Danio rerio: one gene and its partners. The protein of the gene in region 1 interacts with the protein of each later gene in a pairwise test. Links are inferred from orthologs where the notes say so. Each region holds a gene or a part of one and is shown in the gene's direction. Other genes may lie near its edges. The genes, in order: exosc5, tfip11, tnfaip1 and fcho1.

The links.
Region 2: the proteins of exosc5 (region 1) and tfip11 interact in binary tests that used the Homo sapiens proteins (3 or more experiments, as listed by UniProt). The link is inferred for Danio rerio from reciprocal best matches to the Homo sapiens genes EXOSC5 and TFIP11.
Region 3: the proteins of exosc5 (region 1) and tnfaip1 interact in binary tests that used the Homo sapiens proteins (3 or more experiments, as listed by UniProt). The two-hybrid records come from large-scale screens. The link is inferred for Danio rerio from reciprocal best matches to the Homo sapiens genes EXOSC5 and TNFAIP1.
Region 4: the proteins of exosc5 (region 1) and fcho1 interact in binary tests that used the Homo sapiens proteins (3 or more experiments, as listed by UniProt). The two-hybrid records come from large-scale screens. The link is inferred for Danio rerio from reciprocal best matches to the Homo sapiens genes EXOSC5 and FCHO1.

The regions. Positions count from the first base shown.
Region 1 is NC_133193.1:38,983,207-38,988,198, reverse strand, and holds the start of exosc5 (exosome complex component RRP46), read left to right. Parts: upstream 1-1,558; 5' UTR 1,559-1,562; coding exon 1,563-1,692; intron 1,693-1,831; coding exon 1,832-1,945; intron 1,946-4,403; coding exon 4,404-4,525; intron 4,526-4,992. Other genes in the region: bckdha (2-oxoisovalerate dehydrogenase subunit alpha, mitochondrial), read right to left, coding at 1,139-1,252. UniProt on the Homo sapiens protein: Non-catalytic component of the RNA exosome complex which has 3'->5' exoribonuclease activity and participates in a multitude of cellular RNA processing and degradation events.
Region 2 is NC_133198.1:20,749,552-20,753,894, reverse strand, and holds the end of tfip11 (tuftelin-interacting protein 11), read left to right. Parts: intron 1-978; coding exon 979-1,222; intron 1,223-1,298; coding exon 1,299-1,441; intron 1,442-3,134; coding exon 3,135-3,300; intron 3,301-3,382; coding exon 3,383-3,744; 3' UTR 3,745-3,847; downstream 3,848-4,343. Other genes in the region: prim1 (DNA primase small subunit), read right to left, coding at 4,178-4,197. UniProt on the Homo sapiens protein: Involved in pre-mRNA splicing, specifically in spliceosome disassembly during late-stage splicing events. Intron turnover seems to proceed through reactions in two lariat-intron associated complexes termed Intron Large (IL) and Intron Small (IS).
Region 3 is NC_133190.1:23,022,072-23,026,857, forward strand, and holds the start of tnfaip1 (BTB/POZ domain-containing adapter for CUL3-mediated RhoA degradation protein 2), read left to right. Parts: upstream 1-1,578; 5' UTR 1,579-1,632; exon of another isoform or gene 1,633-1,781; intron 1,782-2,873; 5' UTR 2,874-2,986; coding exon 2,987-3,227; intron 3,228-3,306; coding exon 3,307-3,476; intron 3,477-4,786. UniProt on the Homo sapiens protein: Substrate-specific adapter of a BCR (BTB-CUL3-RBX1) E3 ubiquitin-protein ligase complex involved in regulation of cytoskeleton structure.
Region 4 is NC_133183.1:21,920,683-21,925,025, forward strand, and holds part of fcho1 (f-BAR domain only protein 1), read left to right. Parts: intron 1-1,759; coding exon 1,760-1,944; intron 1,945-3,683; coding exon 3,684-3,708; intron 3,709-3,795; coding exon 3,796-3,852; intron 3,853-4,343. UniProt on the Homo sapiens protein: Functions in an early step of clathrin-mediated endocytosis. Has both a membrane binding/bending activity and the ability to recruit proteins essential to the formation of functional clathrin-coated pits.

The DNA.
Region 1 (4,992 bases):
CATTAAAAAAAAATCTAATTACTTAATACTTAAATGTGTCAAAACAAGCAAACCATACATACTTTTCTTTGACAAGCTTTAAAAACTTTATTAACCTAAATGTACAATAGTCTTTTTAAGGTCAGTGTCCCCGCCACATATGGTCTACAAATCCCCGGAGAACATAAAAAAGTTATTATGAGGAACCATATTGTTAAATAGAGTTTTGTTAAAAGTTTTATTGGGGTGTGTTATTGGTGAGTGTATACTGTATACAGGTGTTGGCCTGATTTGGGAAGCTTTACATGGATATTAGAAAATTACAACCTATTTGTAATGATTTAAGACCTACAATTCAATATTTCAGCAAATTTAGAACTTTTTAAGGACTAAAATTTTATTTTGAAAATGTAAAACATTTTAAGACTCTGTGGATACCCTGTCAAAGTAACTTCCCCAAAAACTGGCAGGGAATAAAGTGAATTACCCTAAGCTAGGGATGTACACTGCATAAAAAGTTAATTCTCTTTAAATTTGTGTGTATGTGGTTTGCATATTGATAAAGTCACATATTCGCATGAGAAGAATTTACTATCACCTGTAATTTAAATGTGCACAAGACATTAGCTCATAATTAAGATCCACTTTAAATATGAAACAATTTAATAATGCAAATAAGTTGTAAAATGTAAAGATTTTTTAATGACCCATAACAGTCAGGATTAGTGTTGTTTTTTTCATCCACACGCCCCCTTCAACTAGCCAATCAGCTCTGAGTATAAATCCACAGACATGTGAAGGTTGAAGGATCCATTAACTGTTACCTACAACAATCTTCAGACATCTGACCACTAGTTATTGCATTTAAAACAATCATGACCATGTGACATTGAGCACTATTTCTTTTGTAGGTCAGATGAGGAACACCTAACTTATACATTAGCATTTACATTATTAAGACAGTTCAGTAGCTTTTATGTTTGAAACTAGCATAAAACGTCTTTATACAGATGTTGTTAATATTAGTCTCATACAATTCTAGGAAATGTTTTCGGTCTCCCACGGCTACACACACTTCATACAACCTGAATGGCAAGTTTTGCTAATGTTAAAAGTCCGTTGGTGGCGTATATGCAGCTGCCATAAACGTAAGACTTACATTGACGCGGAATCCCCTTTGTTGGAGAAGCGTTGTTGCTTTTAATGCTGTGTTTTGACGAATTGCATGAAGCCCAATGCCATATAATTTCTTCACAGCTCTAGCAGCCGCCATCTTTACGTCAAGTGCGTGTCTCTAGCGTCTTTTCCCTCCTCGTCTCTGGAAATCCAACACACTGCGCCCCCTACAGGAAAAATGTTACTCCTCATTTTTACGGTTTTGTCTGAGAAATGTATCCTTTTATGTACATTTTAAATTTGATTGGGGTCACGGTAGTGTGTATAACTAAAAGGAACAAGCAGAAACGTGCTTATAAAGTCGCTATACATGTGTCATTACATCCTTAATTCCGTTAGAGGGCGTAAGTGCACTGCTAACATGTGTCATGTCGTCATTATTGTGCGCTCAAAACAATGACCCATTTATGGATGCGACGAGCAGATTGTGCATGAGGACCGAGATGGAGCTGGAGCGAAGTTGTCCAGTTTTAAGAGAATATGGAAGTGAACAGAGTTTGTTATCAAGACCTGACGGGTCGTCCACGTTTGTACAAGGTAATTTATAAATGTTTAATGTAATTTATTTCTTTACTCATGTCATAGCAGTTATTTATCTGTCAGGCCAAAGAATATCCAGAGATCTATTCCATTCATTTAAATATGTATCGTTTTGAATTTGTAAATGTGTTTTTAGGGGACACGAGTATCCTGGCTGGAGTTTATGGACCAGCTGAGGTTAAAGTCAGCAAGGAAATATATGATCGGGCAACTGTAGAGGTCCTTATACAGCCCAAAATGGGGCTTCCAAGTATGTTTTTAAACAGTTTTATTTGCAGCCATATTTTGACAGTAATTGCATTATTTATTAATATTTTTTAATAAAAACGTGTACATGCAAATATATATATTTAATCGCGTCATTGGAATGGAGTTTAGTTTTAATTAATTTAATGTTATATGTCATGTTATGACAATATTACAAATTTATAAAAAATTACCTTTATCTTCAACAAATCAACATATTTGAAAGATTTTTTCAACACATTTCTAAACATATTAGTTGTAATAACTCATTTCTAAAAATGGATTTATCTTATCTTTGCCATGATGACAGTAAATAATATTTGACTAGATATTTTTCAAGACACTTTTATCCAGCTTAAAGTGACATTTAAAGGCTTAACTAGGTTAATTTGGTTAACTAGGCAGGTTAGGATAATTAGGCAAGTTATTGTATAACGATAGTTTTTTCTGAAGATTATCAAAAACAAAAAAAAACAAAAAAAAAAAAAAAAAAACAAAGAGACTAATAATTTTGATCTTAAAATTGTTTTAAATAATTTAAAAACTGCTTTTATTCTTGCCGAAATAAAACAAATAAGACTTTCTCCAGAAGAAAAAATATTATCAGACATACTGTGAAATCTGTTAAACTTCATTTGGGAAATATTTTTAAAAACAATCAAATGGGGGTTAATAGTTCTGACTTCAACTGTACATTTACACTACTGGTCAAAATTTTGGGGTCAGTAGGATTTTTAAATGTTTTAAAATAAGCTTGTTCTGCTCACCAAAGCTGCATTTATTTAAACAAAAATACAGGACATATAGGACAATTGTGATATGTTATTGCACTATAAAATAATAAATTATATTTTATATAAAATCATTTATTCCAGTGATTTTACACATAAATTGTCAGCTTCCTTTAGTCTTCAGAGTCATGTGATCTTTCAGTAATCGCTCTGATATAAATTGTTATTATTATTGCTGTTATTATGGGGGTAATGGTAATAGTAATAAAAGTAGTAAAGTCTGGAATAATAACTTCATTTGAAACTACACACAATAAGAAAGCAGTTATTAATTAATTTTTTTTATTTTTTTTTACTTAATAAATGCTGCCTTGATGAACAGAATCATTTTCTTTAAAAAAATCGATATGAAAAAGTGTGTGAGATCTACATGTCTACATGTATATTCATCTATTTATTTTTTGCTTTGTATTATTATCATTGCACTGATGTTGGATTAACTTAAATCTGTCTGCATTTAGCATATCAGCTATAATGTGAAAGACTGATACAGATAATTAATAATTAAATAATAGAAACGCATTGCACATCTTTTGAACAATCTAAAGTTTTTACAAAATAACAAAATACAATATATATACAAATATCAGGCATGAATCTTTTATGTGCATTATGCCAGTTGTGCACTGGAAAAGCAGCTGGTGTGCACCATTAGTTTGGGTTAGTTTGGGATAAAACATCTTTCTTGTTCAAAAAAAAAAAAAAAGATTTAGTTTTTTTTTTTTTAAAGCAGAAATATGTATAATTTACAGATAGCAAACTGCACTGGCTTTTTTCGGTTATTTCAGGAAAGTTCTATTATAGCAAAATTGTTTAGTGTTATTAAAAGAAAATCCCCTAATCACCTTTGAACATTGTCATATTGCTTTTTTTTGTCTTAAAACGTGCCTCTCTTAAAATGTTAGACATTTGAATTTTGAATGGATCCAATCTATATTCAGTTCAATGAATTTAACTGAGTAAAAAGTAGCTTGTACTGTATGCAGATGACTAATATTTTGATATATTGGCATGCATTTCTAAAACATTTCATTGTTTCTTAAGTATGTGAAGTTGTTGGACACATTTCCTTCTGCTTTTTTGAATTGATTTATTCAAAACTGTTGGACTTATTTACAGTATTTAAGGCAAGTATGTTAGAAGTAACTGCAATTAAATTACCCATCCATGAAAAGTAACCTACTACTTTACATTTTCAGTACAAAAGTAATTACAGTAACACGTTACTTTGTAATTAATTACACCTAATATGTCCCAGACCAAACACTAGCCACTTTGTTACTAGTTACTAATTACACCCAATATAACACAGACTAATGCAACATAAATATGAATTGTTTGTCACTTTTTTATTTAATATAATATAAGAAACAATTACCTACATGAGTATAAACTGTTTAAAGGGAGTCTTAAAACTACATGTCAGGAAGAAAATGTTATGCCATAAAAAATGTGTGTCGTTTATGTAAATTGTTTTTATTTAGTCAGTGTTTTATTATTACTAATTATTATTATTATTAATGTTTAATAATACACATATACAGCTCATACTAGAATAGTAAACATAGTTATAATTGCATGGCCTGCACAGCCATGTTTCAGCATTAGGTGTCAGTCTGGTACAGTATTTTTTTAAACTTCCTCATACTGTGGTGCGATGTGTTGTGTTAGGTGTCCGCGAGCGAGCGAGAGAGCAGTGTGTCCGTGAGACTTGTGAAGCTGCCCTTCTGTTGACCCTTCATCCACGCTCTTCTCTCACGGTCATCCTGCAGGTCGTCCACGATGATGGATCTGTATCCTCAACACCAGCAAAACTCTTCTTTATAAATGCAAAATGAAGAGGGGGCAAATATGATGTGTCCGTGGTTTTATTGTTTGAACTTTTTAGTCACTTACCGTTGAAGGGAGGAGTTTGTTTTGAATATTTAGGGTTGAGTATTAAAGATTAGTATGTTTTATTACAATGAATGTATTAAAACGAAAAAAGTGGCAATATAGACTAAACGTACAAAAAAATTGAAGATTTGAATAATTGGCTTCTTTTAATACTCTTCAATTTTATTATGTTTTAACGCTTGTTAGGAATGTTTTCATCCACTCTGGGGTTATTTTGAGTCTTAATTTGGCCACAACTTGTTTCAGCAAGCGGAATGATTTTGGTGACATTTTATTTTGACAAATTTTTGCAATTTAAAAAAAAAAAAAAAAAAAAACCTCAACAATAGACTCAGCAGGGCAAGTTTACTACACTGGTCCTTTT
Region 2 (4,343 bases), on another chromosome or scaffold:
GTAAATATAAATAGATAAATAAATAAATATATAATAATATTAATCTTATTACCATGCATTATTAATACATTGACACTCATGAAACAAACAAGCATCAAAAAGCATGAAAAAGGCCATTAAATCTAGCATGGCGTTAAACACAAATTTAATACATTGGCATTTGTACAATTTTAACATGTAGATGTATGACTGTCTACGTTTAAATTCATATTTACTAATATTTTAGATCTCTCTGAAAAGAATCCGCAATAAAGTCATAATTCAGGGCGCATATTCAAAAAAGAGAATTATTGATGTAAGTATTTTCTTTGAATAAATATTTTTAAATGCTTTTAAATATTTGTAAATATTTTAAATGATAGAGAATGGCCAAATTTATATTTATAGAACATATGTGCAAATGTTTTATTCTAGCCATTAAAAAAAATAAATTAATAAATATTTAAAAACTAATTTCTAACCATATAAGAACTTTGTGACTTAGGAGTCCTCTTCACTACTCCTAATGTTTCATTAATTTAGGAGCTAGTGTTTTGAAAAAGCTTTTGTGAAATACTATGAGTGAAATGTTGGAGTCCTAAATTTAGGACAGAAACTCCATTTAAATCTATTATTTAGAAGTAAGATTCTCTCCTAAATCATCAAGTTAAGAGCTCCTTTTAGCTTTAAGATGTCAGTATGACAATAAATTGTCAAAAATGTTTTTTGCAAAAAAACAAAACTTAATTTTTAGTGCCTGTTGAATGATGATGAATTTGACCACATGAATGTCAACACTACAAAACGGTCCGATTTTATGTGTTCTCAACTACCTTTGGATGTGGACGAAAGTGGAAAATCTTAAAACATTTTAGTCTTTGTCTACACCTGTATAAAGCCATGTCCACCTGTGATCAGAATGATGAAAACATCCTAATACCAGATGTAAACAGAACCAAGTGTTTCTATAAAGATGTAACTTTTTTTTTTTTTAAATAGGTGGACAACTGGAACCCACTGACCGACACAGTGCCCATTCATTCATGGATTCATCCCTGGCTACCTCTTATGCAAACCCGTCTTGAGCCGCTGTATGCACCCATCCGTAGTAAACTAGCCCATGCTCTGCAGCGCTGGCACCCCAGCGATTCCTCCGCCAGACTCATTCTGCAACCCTGGAGAGATGTCTTCACACCCGGCGCCTGGGAGGCCTTCATGGTCAAAAATATTGTCCCCAAACTGGGTATGTGCTTTTTTGCTAGACTGTCAGACTTTGGGAGACTTGGATGGCATGTGAAGGTTTTTCTCCTGTGTTTCAGCTTTGTGTTTAGGAGAGCTAGTGGTCAATCCTCATCAGCAGTTGCTCGATCCATTTAACTGGGTGATGGACTGGGAATGTATGCTCTCTGTCTCTTCCATGGTCGGACTCCTGGATAAAAATTTCTTCCCCAAATGGCTACAGGTCAGCCTTACAGAGTTTTACAGTTATGCCTGTTTCACATTGTAAGCGAGAGCAGAGCATAAGCAGCACGTGCACAGAGCAGATTGAGAGCAGATGTAGCGCACAGGCGTTTGCCTTTCACAGTAGCTCTGTCAGCAGCACGCAGTGCATCAGCAGTTATTGCACTGTTTAAGTTGTTTAAGTTCATTTAATTGAATATATAAAAATCTGGGGACATTATCGATGCATTTATTGGGTAAAATTGCTACTTTTTACGGTCATTCAATGTGTTTTTGGTCGTTATCAATCCACTGTCACTTTAATTGAGCGTGAGCAGCATGGCAAAAATAGACCCAGCACTGAAACTATCGCTCACGCTCCACGCTGACATGCTGCTTCTGCGTGCAGTATGAAAGCTCTAATCTGTTAACATGGACGCCGAAAAAACACGCGCTGCTTAAGCTCTGCTCGCGGTGTGAAAGATGGGTTAGTCAGTGTAATGCATTAGCATAGCTTGTATTTCTTTGGGATTGGGACAAAACATGAAAGACTGTTGTGTACTGTTGGGGATGTTTTCATTCACTCTGTGGTGCTTTTTGAGTCGTAAGTTGGCCAAAACTTTGTCTGTGTTACAACAAATGGAATCATTTTTGGTGACAAATTTTTTGACACATATTTTGGGAAAATGCTTTGAAAATGTTTAAAAATACACCTTGGGAAAATTTGCTACCCTTTCATTATTTCTGTTTCTGTTTTTTCCTATTGACTTACATTATAATCATATTTTTGCAAAGCCAAAAATTGCAAAGCCATGACACCATATAATCATGCATTCTTAATTGTTGTTGGTGGTTTTCCCCTCTTGGAAAGAGGTGCAATTTAATTTTTTTACTGTTGATCATTAATTGAAGAGCAAAAAAAAAGCTCAGTTTCTGTCTTCTATACTAGTGTGTGTGAGAGAGACACCTTTGCACATTTTTCTTAATATGTTTGAGAAAATCAAAATAAGCAGCTCAGCTCTCAGAAAATAGTAAACATATTAAGAGTATTTATACACACACACACACACACACACACAATAATCTAAACAATAATTTTTTGCACATGCCTATCTAAAGTGTTAATGCTGCCAACTGATGTTCATCAGTAAAAATGACACATTTACCTTATCCCAACAGGGTAAACCACCAACAATCAAGAATGCATGATTATATGGTGTCATGGCTTCGCAACAAAATAAAAATGTAATTATAATGGAAGTCAATGATGCTAAAACAGCCACAAACATAACAAAAGGGCAGTATACTCGAAAAGTACACAAAGGTTAAGAATGTTTTTAGCTCGGATAGTTCACTCAAATAAAACTTTCATCCAAGATGTAGGAAGGCATGGGATGATAATTGTTTTCAAAGTAAGCTGCGGTTTGGAAAAGTTAAGGTTTTAAAACCGTCAACATTTTCTGCTGCACAGTAATCACAATACTGTCAAACCGGGATATTTTTATCCAAGGTTATTATACCGTCAGAATCTTATACCAGCTCATGCCTAAATGTAGGTGCCATTTTCGTCTTTAAACACTAAAGAGTAAAAGAGAACATTAAAGAGTTCTAGCTGATAAAAGTAGTCATTAAATGCCATGGCTCCGGATGACACACTGATGTTTTGTAGGCACTCCTACTACATTTGTTCACGGTTTCTTTGTCTCCTATTGCAGGTGTTGTGCTCTTGGCTCAGTAATAACCCAAACTATGAGGAGATCACTAAATGGTATCTGGGCTGGAAGGGCTTGCTCTCAGAGAACCTGCTCAGTCACCCATTAGTCAAAGAAAAACTCAACGAAGCCCTCGACATCATGAACCGTGCCGTTGCTTCTGGACTCGGTCAGTCACATGCTAAAAAAATAATGTTCACTTAATTCATCCATTCTACCTTCAACTTCTCATACATTTGCTGTCCTTGCAGGGGGTTATATGCAACCTGGAGCAAGAGAGAACATTGCATACCTGATTCAGACAGAGAGAAGGAAGGATTTCCAATGCGAGCTTCAGCCAGAGCGGCGCGAAGTGGACAATTCTGCCACACGGCCACCAGGAATGGCAGCGGTGCCAGCATCTGTACCGACCAACTTTAAAGATCTAGTACAGGCCAAGGCCGAAGAGAACGGCATCGTCTTTATGCCACTGGTAGCCAAACGGCACATGGGCAAACAGCTATTCACATTTGGCAGAATAGTCATCTACATCGAGCGTGGAGTGGTGTTTGTCCAAGGTGAGAAAACCTGGGTTCCAACATCACTACAGAGTCTTATTGACATGGCCAAATGAGGCGGAGGTTTGAATATTGCTCTCTAATCTAGTTCTGTGTTGCTTTAAACTGTTTGTCTATCAATATTGTTTATACTGCTGAATAAACTTGTGCTTTAATTAATGGTTGATCGTTTCATTCAGCTACCGCCTACTGATGTGTCACATTTCATTTTAATCAGACTAATATAGGAAGAGATTTTTATTTTATACAAATTTTTATTGTGTATTTCTGTTTAATAAGCTGGTGGAAAAAATAGTGAAAACTAAATCTGATTTACAATTGAAAAAGGAAATATTTCTATTAGAAAAGTAAAGGAGCAGTTATTACAGAAAAATAAATGGCATTGTTTCATACATCATTTGATCCCTCAAGATATGGTTCAGAGAAGTAAAGTGTCCATCTCTTCAGAAGCAGATGGGCTGTTGTTATTGATGTCACAGCTCTTCTGCCTTAAAAATCCTTCTGAAGATCTGCAAAAATCAAATACAACAATTACATTGTGCAGCCAGTCATTATTTTGAACTATGGCCAATTACAAATTTCTGGACTTTATTTTATGAATAAAAAAAGACCCTAAAGACAAACCAAATCATTTAGGTCACAGGTGTCAAACTCA
Region 3 (4,786 bases), on another chromosome or scaffold:
ATAACGGTTTGATTTAAGTATAGATTCAGTCTATTGGGAATGTTATTAAACCAGTGTTTGTTTTTATTGATTATTATAGGTGTTTTATAAAGGCTGGGATGTAGAGGTAGTATAATAGTACAAGGACAGAGATTCACATTATATATTTGACATAACATATAAGTTATAGCATGAATGTAATTTGGGCATATATTTTAAATTAAAAGTCTATTTATGAAATTGAGAGTATTTGTAATCCAACTCTGTTTTAATCTTTTGGCCAATTTATTGTGCTAATTATATACATTTAATATATTATTATAATATTTAAAATGATACACATTTGCTTGCTGAATATATAACCAAAGTCATAGCTCATATGTCACACACATAACACAATGTTGCCTGACTTCATTCAAACCACACCAGCACCTGTCAACCTTTCCTAACTACTGAAGAATCCAGCCACTTCTTGTCGTTCATTCATCGCCATATTACAGTAGTTACATGTCAGAATGTAAAAACGCAGGTCAGTTTCCATAACGGAATGACCGGCTTTCTGAATTTTTCCTGTCATGCAGGAATGTCAGGCGGTCAAATGAAGCTCTCACCTGGCTCTTCTGCTGCTGCTGAAGCCTTTCCTGCAGTATCGCCTGTGCCAGTCCCCCTGTTGCGCTGCTACTGGACGTGTCAGCGGATAAAGGCCGGACGACATCCAGCAGCGGAGGGGCCGTGGAGCAACGGGCCCCCTGCCTCAGTCTGAGCAGGCCCCGGCTCGCCCGGACACACATGGGATACACAGACACCGCCGACATCTTGAATATGATGCAGTTCGTACCCGGAGCGCGAGTGGAAAGGACAAACGATTTTGATTGGTTACGTCTATTGTGATTGGCAGGTGCAGAGAGCCAATCGAGTCTGTCGACTATTCCGTAAAGGCGGGTATTTTAATGTCGTCACGGGCTGCGTCAAAAGCAGCTAAAAGTCCCAATATTTTTTTTATTAGGAATGTTATTTTAACAGTGTTTGTTTTTATTAATTATTATATGTGTTCTATAAAGGCTAAGATGTAGAGGTAGAATAACAGTACAAAAACGGAGATTCACATTGTATGTTGCAATAATTCGAGAACATACAATGTCATTTTGGGTATACAATTCAAAATAAAAGTCTACTTATGAAATTGTTACAACTTGTGGTGTTAAGTTAAAACCATGGGTAAACATAAATATAGCTATATTAATATTAATTAGCTATCAAATGAAGAAGTTTTTAAATCTAAATATTACTTTTTTTAAAGTATTACTTTGTAATCTTTTTCTATATATGCTATACATAATATAAATCGCCTTTTATATATTCCATTTACTGTATATATGATATCTATACTATATATACTTATTACCATTTTGTTTGCTTTGCGTATTCATATTGTTTACATTTGTAAGTCGCTTTAGATTAAAGCATTTGTCTAAATAAAAATAAAACCTAGCATAAATGTACATTTTTTTAATCTCAGGGCTTTATCTTTTGTTGACTGTCCCTGCACTAGCCAATGGGTGGCAGTAGATCATTAATACGGTTTAACCTGTTGCTGTTGATCTTTCAACGAAGAAGAGCCATCCATCACATTTGTTAGCCATCGCCCTGAAGGTAGATGTGAAAGGTATTTTCCCTGTTTTTAAATGGTCTGATAGAACTGTTTATGCGTTTCTTTTTCAAATATGGTTGAAGTAAAACAGCGGAGTTGAAGAACTGTCGACTTCAGTTACTCGCCGACGAGTTATACTGCGGCAGAGCGGGTGAGTTTTACGCGTCGAAAAGTTTTTTCATGGTAATAACCTGTTCTAAACTTTGTTGTTTTGAATTAAATAAGCTGAAGTATTTTAAAACTAGCATTAACCCTAACTAAAGCTCTGAGGTGTTTTGTTATTGCGCCTTTTAGTCGTGAAATTAGCACAATAGAAACATTAGCAGAAACGTTTGCTCAAAAGCGTTGCCAATCTGTAAAACACACAAGATCAAGATTTTCTTTAAACTAAAAGAATTTAATATATTGTCAATAAAGATATACACAATGTGAACTGAATATTTGGCAAGTTTAAATTTGTTATCATGGCCAGTTGTAAATAAATATCAATTTATTTTAAGTAGCCTCCATGTTTTTCACTGACTTGTGTGAGGAGAAATGTTTAAATTTCAGGTCTGTTTTGGACAAAGAATTGTTATCATAAACAGTTGGAATTCATTATGTTTCAACTTTGCAACCCTGATGTTACTTCTTCTTTATCCCTTTTTTATTGATATAAAATGTATTTTCAAATTGCACTTGAACTATTCTGAATATGTAATTGTATGAAATTAAGATTGTTTAATCTGCAAATTATGATGATTAACCTCATTTAAATTTAATTATTTTGAATTTATAACTCACAATTGCTCAAACAGTTCAAGAATAGTGTAAAGTGTCTGTAAAGTGACCAATTTTCAATATGTCTTAATTCTTATTTTAAAAAATAAATTGTTTTTCTTTGGGGTCTTTAAAGTTCTTGAAAAAGTGTAGTTTCTTTAGTAATAACTGTATTTATATATGTATGTTGATTTATTTTTCTGTAAACATGTATATTTTCATTTCATTTAAATTAAATTTAGATTTTGACTTCTAACAATTCTGAAAAAAAAATTGTAGAAGTAAAACAATTATAGCATCATATACTGTCACCTTTTTAAAAACATTTTTGGGTCATATGGTCCACTTGTTTTAAATATTCACAATTTCAAAATTAACCAAAATAATCACAATTGTTTTTTTTTTTTTTTCATGTTCAAGCAGGGTCAAAAAAGGCACCCACATATGTAATAAGTGTTCAAAAGATCCTTCTGTATTGCTTTAGTTAATGTGTAGCATGTAGGTTTGGCATCACGATCAGCCTGGCCAGCAGCATTCACCACGGCAGGGGAAATCAGACCCATCGTGTGCAGGGTGGTTATCTACCTACAGAGGGACATGTCAGGAGAGAGCTGCCTGCACCAGCTTCAGCCACACACCGGGCCCATCCTGCCAGTCTCTTCAGTGGGCTGCCCCAAGACTAACACCTGCACCTACCGTGGTGTGACCGGAAATAAGTACGTTCAGCTCAATGTTGGTGGAAATCTGTACTACTCCACACTGCAGGTGCTCACTAGACAGGACACCCTGCTGAGATCCATGTTCAGCGGCAAGATGGAGGTGCTCACAGATAAGGAAGGTGAGTTATTTAAACAGCCCTGAGAGAAGATGCAACCTCTTCAGCCTTGGCTCAATGTGGTTTTTTTTTTTTTTTTTAGGTTGGATCCTAATAGATCGCTGTGGGAAACACTTTGGCTCCATTCTCAGCTATCTCCGTGATGGATTTGTGAATTTGCCAAAAAGCAGACAGAGCATCATGGAGCTCCTAGCAGAGGCCAAGTATTACCAGATTCAGGGCTTGATAGACTTGTGCCAGAAGGAGCTACAGGTTGGTTAAGTCACATAAAACCTCCTTTTTAATAGGCTATACACTTGTATTGGCCTAGTTTACATCTGGTATTAAAGGGGACCTATTATGCCCCTTTTTAAAAGATGTAAACTAAGACTCTGATGTCTCTTTAGTGTGTATGTGAAGTTTCTGCTCTAAATACCCCACAGATAATGTTTTATAACTCCTTAAAACTGTCTCTTTTAGGCTTTGATTGTAATTGTGCTGCTTTGGTGACTGTCGCTTTAAATTCAAATGAGGCAGGGCTTTCCCCCTCTGATGACATGTACAAAGGGAGAAGGTCAATTAAAATCTATTTTTATGAAGTGTGATTATAAAAAACAAAATGAATATATTTTTTTATTAGAAGCTGGTTATGTTCATAAACCTCTCATTAAAGTGATTTTTGTATAATAGGTTCCCTTTAAAGTTTCCGTGAAGTGCTTTGAAACATGCATTTGTGTTTGACGTGGGACATAATTTGAACTAAAACATAAAAACAGGGTGGGACCGTGTAGTGCCCTTCTTCTTAAAAAAAAAAAAAAAAAAAAAAAAAAAAAAAGCATTTTGTTTTTTCACAGCTCTGCCAGTGAGAGCAATAGTGCCTCAAGGGGGAGATTCCAATAATAAGGGGGCATAAGATGTCAGATGTGTACTAGAAAGCATTTGATTGGTCATAAGATTTGATGAAACAGTGAGCTGGGGTCCGTTCTTCGTATGTGGATTACTCAATTAGCAGGATTTGGATGTTGACGATTTGACGTGATCCAGGATCGTTTCGTTCTTCAAAACTCATCTGAGATTTGTTGTCATAGTAACAGTTGGTAGCTCAAACCTGCGTAGGAGCAGGCTCATTCATATAAACATGATTAGATTGGGTCAGTTCAAGCAAAGATAATATTGAAAGTATCTACCAAATGCTGATATTTTCTTACAGTAGTAGTTATATACACTTGGGAAAATAAAATCTATATATTAATAACATTTTTGCAATCTGCACTTCGAAATAAAAGTAAAAGACTGCCACCTGGTGGTTCAAAGAGAACATTTATTGATATTAACTTTTTAGATGCAAACGCATACATGCACATTATTCAACTTTTATAAAAAAAAAAATTTAAAAAAGGATAATAATTTATGCGGTCAAGCACGTGCTTTGATCACTAATATGCTGGTGATTGACAACTTTACAGTTATCAAAATGCTTTTTTGATGCAAAATTAATTTATACAGTTATTCCTTACACCAATTAACTTGAGTAGGCCAAGGCTACTATAATAAATAAAATCTCCTCTAAATGTAGAACTATA
Region 4 (4,343 bases), on another chromosome or scaffold:
TTTGGGCTAAAACACCTTGGATAATAAAAAAAACAACAACTGCATTTAGGTAAGTCAATACAAATAGCAACAGCACTGGCTTTATTTGTTAAGTGTAATATATGTTCTATTATATATATTATTATACTGTATGTAAAATAAATGTAACATTGTTCAAAGAAATACTGAATGGCAAATATCCCCTTTAATAATTGTCAGATTGTCAAGTTTAAATTGTGCACCTCTTAAAATATTGCACAATTTAATTTTTAATGGATCCAATCTTTATTTTGGAATATTCATTTAATACAAAAAAAGGTATTGTTGTATAGAGCTGAGGTGGCCAAAGTAGGGCCCGTGGGGCAGAGTTGGCCCATGGTAACCTTTGGTTTGGCCCGCCATACCTTCTGAAAAGTGAGGGAAAACAATGGGGAGTTGGTTGGAGGCGAATGCCTTTGACAGAGGTGTCATTTCGAATTGAATGTAACCTTTTGATACTTTGTTTAAATTAGGAGCTACAAAAAAGCCAATTAGAACTAAATGATTAATTTAAACGTTGTAATAAATCAGACTTTTAAAATGTAAATACTGTCACTTGGCAGATGCACAAGACATCGGCGAGCGAATCAAGGCAAAGGCAGGAGCAGCTCGACTAGTGTATTCAGCTCTAAACTCCATTGTGTTATAAATATGATTGTGGATGTTTTTACTATAATAAGTTCATTATAAAACGTTAAAAATTAATCCACGTCATGTTTTATTACGTTTAAAGCAACGTCTTCTAGTTATTTTTAAAAAATATGCAAATTTAATTTAATACAGTTTGATATCTTTAACTTTGGCCCACAGCTCTCAATCAAGTTTGATTTTTGGCCCTTTATAAGACGAAGTTTGGGCACCTTACAAACTTTGCTCTCTTACTGGCTGTAGGTCATCGCTGATGTTATTTTCAGTCAGAACACATTTCACACGGCATGATTTGAGTCGTTGACAGCACCAGATATTTTGGATGCCAAATAGCTGACAGGCGTTGGCGACTCATCGGCAATTCTTTCAGATCGCGCCTTTGATAGTTCATACTGTGTGATTGTTACTCATGTGAACAGAGCACTGATTTGCCTGTGATTTCAGTCATTTGTCGACGATTTCTCAAAACCTGTCGGCGAGTCAAAATTGGGGCTAAAATCATGCAGTGTGAACTCGGAATTATTTGATTCTTAACCTGGCTTTTTGAGGATGTTTGAAGGCTGGAAATTCAACACCACAACAAATAGTTTTGTAAAAACAGATTTTCACTCACATACACATATACTGGTCTATAAGCTTTTTGAAAATATTTTTTTATCTGCCCTCCTTTTTACACAGTGTCAAAGGTATTACAGACACACAGAGGATGTTATTTTCGGGAAATGTGGTTTAGTAAAGCAGGATGTGAAACAGAGACTCTTACATTGTCTGATAATAAACAGTGATGGATACACAGCCCACTGCATCATTTCTATTTGTCTGATGAAGATGTCACTTATAGGCTCCCGATTAATTGACTTCATCATGAGCCATTTTAAAGCATATGACACTCTATAGGGTCTCTAAATACGATGTCTATTTCTACACTTGTTGTTTCTAGACTATTCATAACAGCTGTGTTTGTGTAAATGTTTACACTCGTGTCTATTTGTGTCTTAGCCAGTGTTTTCTAGTGTTCACCTGTCCCTCTTTGCATCTGTGTGTGAGTGCATGTGTGTGTCTTGATTTCCTCCTTAACACCGTTGCTCTCTACGTTGTGCTGCTGAGGAGAAGGAGGGAAACTTTTACTCCAGTGACTCGGATTTCGATGACGAAGAACCCAAGAAGTTTCACATCCAGATCCGCCCGGTCGCCAGCAGCAACCGCAGCAACTCAGCAGCCAATGAGCAGGAGCTGAAGGCCACAGTGGGGGCGTTGACTCTGCCCCCAAACAGAGTGGTAAGAGATTTAACAGCCCAAATCAAGAGTGATGCGAATCATTTATTCATTTTTACCGAAAATTGCTCAACATATCAGTGCTTAAGTTTACAAAATGTCTCATAAATAGAAGGGTACAGTATGTAACTGATTACAGTAAACCAAAAATAATTAAGATGCGAGAGTGTATAGGTGTTTCCCCTTACTGGGTTGCAGCCGGAAGGACATCCGCTGCGTAAAACATGTGGCGGAATAGTTGGCGGTTTATTCTGTTGTGGCAACACCTGATGAATAACAGACTGGGTTGAGGAAAAATGAATGAATATTGCACTCGTTGTTTGTGTAATATTGCTTATTATATTATATAATATAAATATGAAACAAAAACTGATATGGAACAAGTTGGTTAAGATTACATGTTGATTGAGATCACAGGACTTGTCGAATAATACTGTCATTGTCTCTGTAATCTCTCATTTTGGTTTCAGAATAAATGAATCATTTTACATATGCCAATTAATTTGTTTTCCACATAACAAGGCAAACAAACCACTCTAATGTGATTCTTTGGTTTCAGTTAGAGTGCACATGATGTTTCTGGCTCCTCTGTAAACAAAGACATGTTTACTAAGTTCTAGGCTCCTAAAATGAGCTCTTTTGAGGAAAAACAGATCACTGTGCTTGTCAGCGGTTGTGATCTTTACTTTGATAAGAACTTAAAATCTTGGTTGTGTTTTATGTCTATTTAATGCTGAAACCTTTAATTGAACAGCATTTTAAAACATAATTAAAGCAAAATGAAGTCATGGACCATTGTGATTTTATTTTATTTTATTTATTTATTTATTGTCACAAAATGTATGAATTTTATATTTACTTGATTATTTTTAATGTGTTTTAAAAGTTTTTTTTTATAATATTTTCTGCGTTTTTGTCATTCATTTACACAACTATTATTTATAGACATAAAAAGGATTTCAAGGGCAGGTTCTTAAAAATGACACTATTATTTTATTTATTGTAACCTTCAAAAGCAGAATTTATGAAAATAGTTATGTCACATGCATGCATATTACGTTCAGTCTATAATCACACACATGCACTTGACAACTAAAGCTTCAGTGGTGATGAATACTGTACTGTTTAATAGGCAATATACACAGCTGGTGTTTTTCCCATACCGATAAACTTCCAGTGAATAGTTAATGTGCCTTTTTTAAATTTAATACAGTTCCTTTTACAGCATAGATGTTGTAATATAATTAAATATATTATCAGTTAAATAGACCTTTTACATGCATACCCCGCCAGGATCAGCAGGATAGCACAGAAACTCAATTGAAAATATTGGGGTAAAATAAATGTTCATATTTTAAAGACATGGTGCGGAAAAATGTAATTTAATGCAGTGCTTCTTGCATATTCTAAGACCCACTTTACATAGCATATTAATCAGGCTGTAAAGATCTTTGATTTTTAAAGAAATAGACCTTAAACGTGGTGATTTTGTAACAGCATACATTTCACCAGTAGCGTTTGACCCAGGTTACTGAAAAATTAAAAGTCCTTCTGCGTATATCCTTTTTCAAAGTGACAACTACATGTCTGTCATATATAATAGAGCGCTTGTAGGTGTTTTTAGTTGTTTTGACAACATTGTCATCAATACAGTATTACTTCTTATTTTTAAAGTGTCACAGCAAATATGATGCATGGCTTTAACACAAACCTGTCATTGTTTGATTCATCTAATCCTGTAGGTGTCAGTAAAGAAGCAGCTCTCTCGTGAGTTCACTTTCATTCCTCTCTATGACCATATTCTGCATATATGTTAGTGGGGCTCTTTTTCATGCATATATTCTCCTGAAACAGGAAATTCGAGTTCAGCAGGTCGATCTGAAGGGGAAGGGGAAAGTGTTCCCCAGAGAGGTCAGTCACACGCCGCAGACGCTCATTTCTGCACTCCGACTGCTAGAGTTACACCATAAAGCATCAATTTTTCAGTACTCACGCATTGTTCCTGTGAGTAAGCCGTCTCCAATGGCCACTGTCTCCCACCTCCTCCTCTGTCCACATTAATAGATGTCAATATCCCACAACACACATCTCCGACTGACACCTTAATCACAGCAATCTGCCATCCAGCTGACCTGGGATCAGTATCCTAACTGCTCTGTCATTATTGCCTTAAATTGACAGACTGATCTCAGGTCCGCGGAATTGCTGTAATTACAGCCTCAGAATTGGTTCTATTTTTGCATCAGGGGTTTTTGACAGTAATAGCAAAAGTGGAAGTGTGTGCATGTGTGTATGTTGTTTTTGGAGAAAGAGGTTTAGGCTTAGTCTTCCCTCACTGGCTCATTACTCAAAACTGCTTAATTGCAGAGATTAGTCACATAGATGAATGGTACTATTTTGAT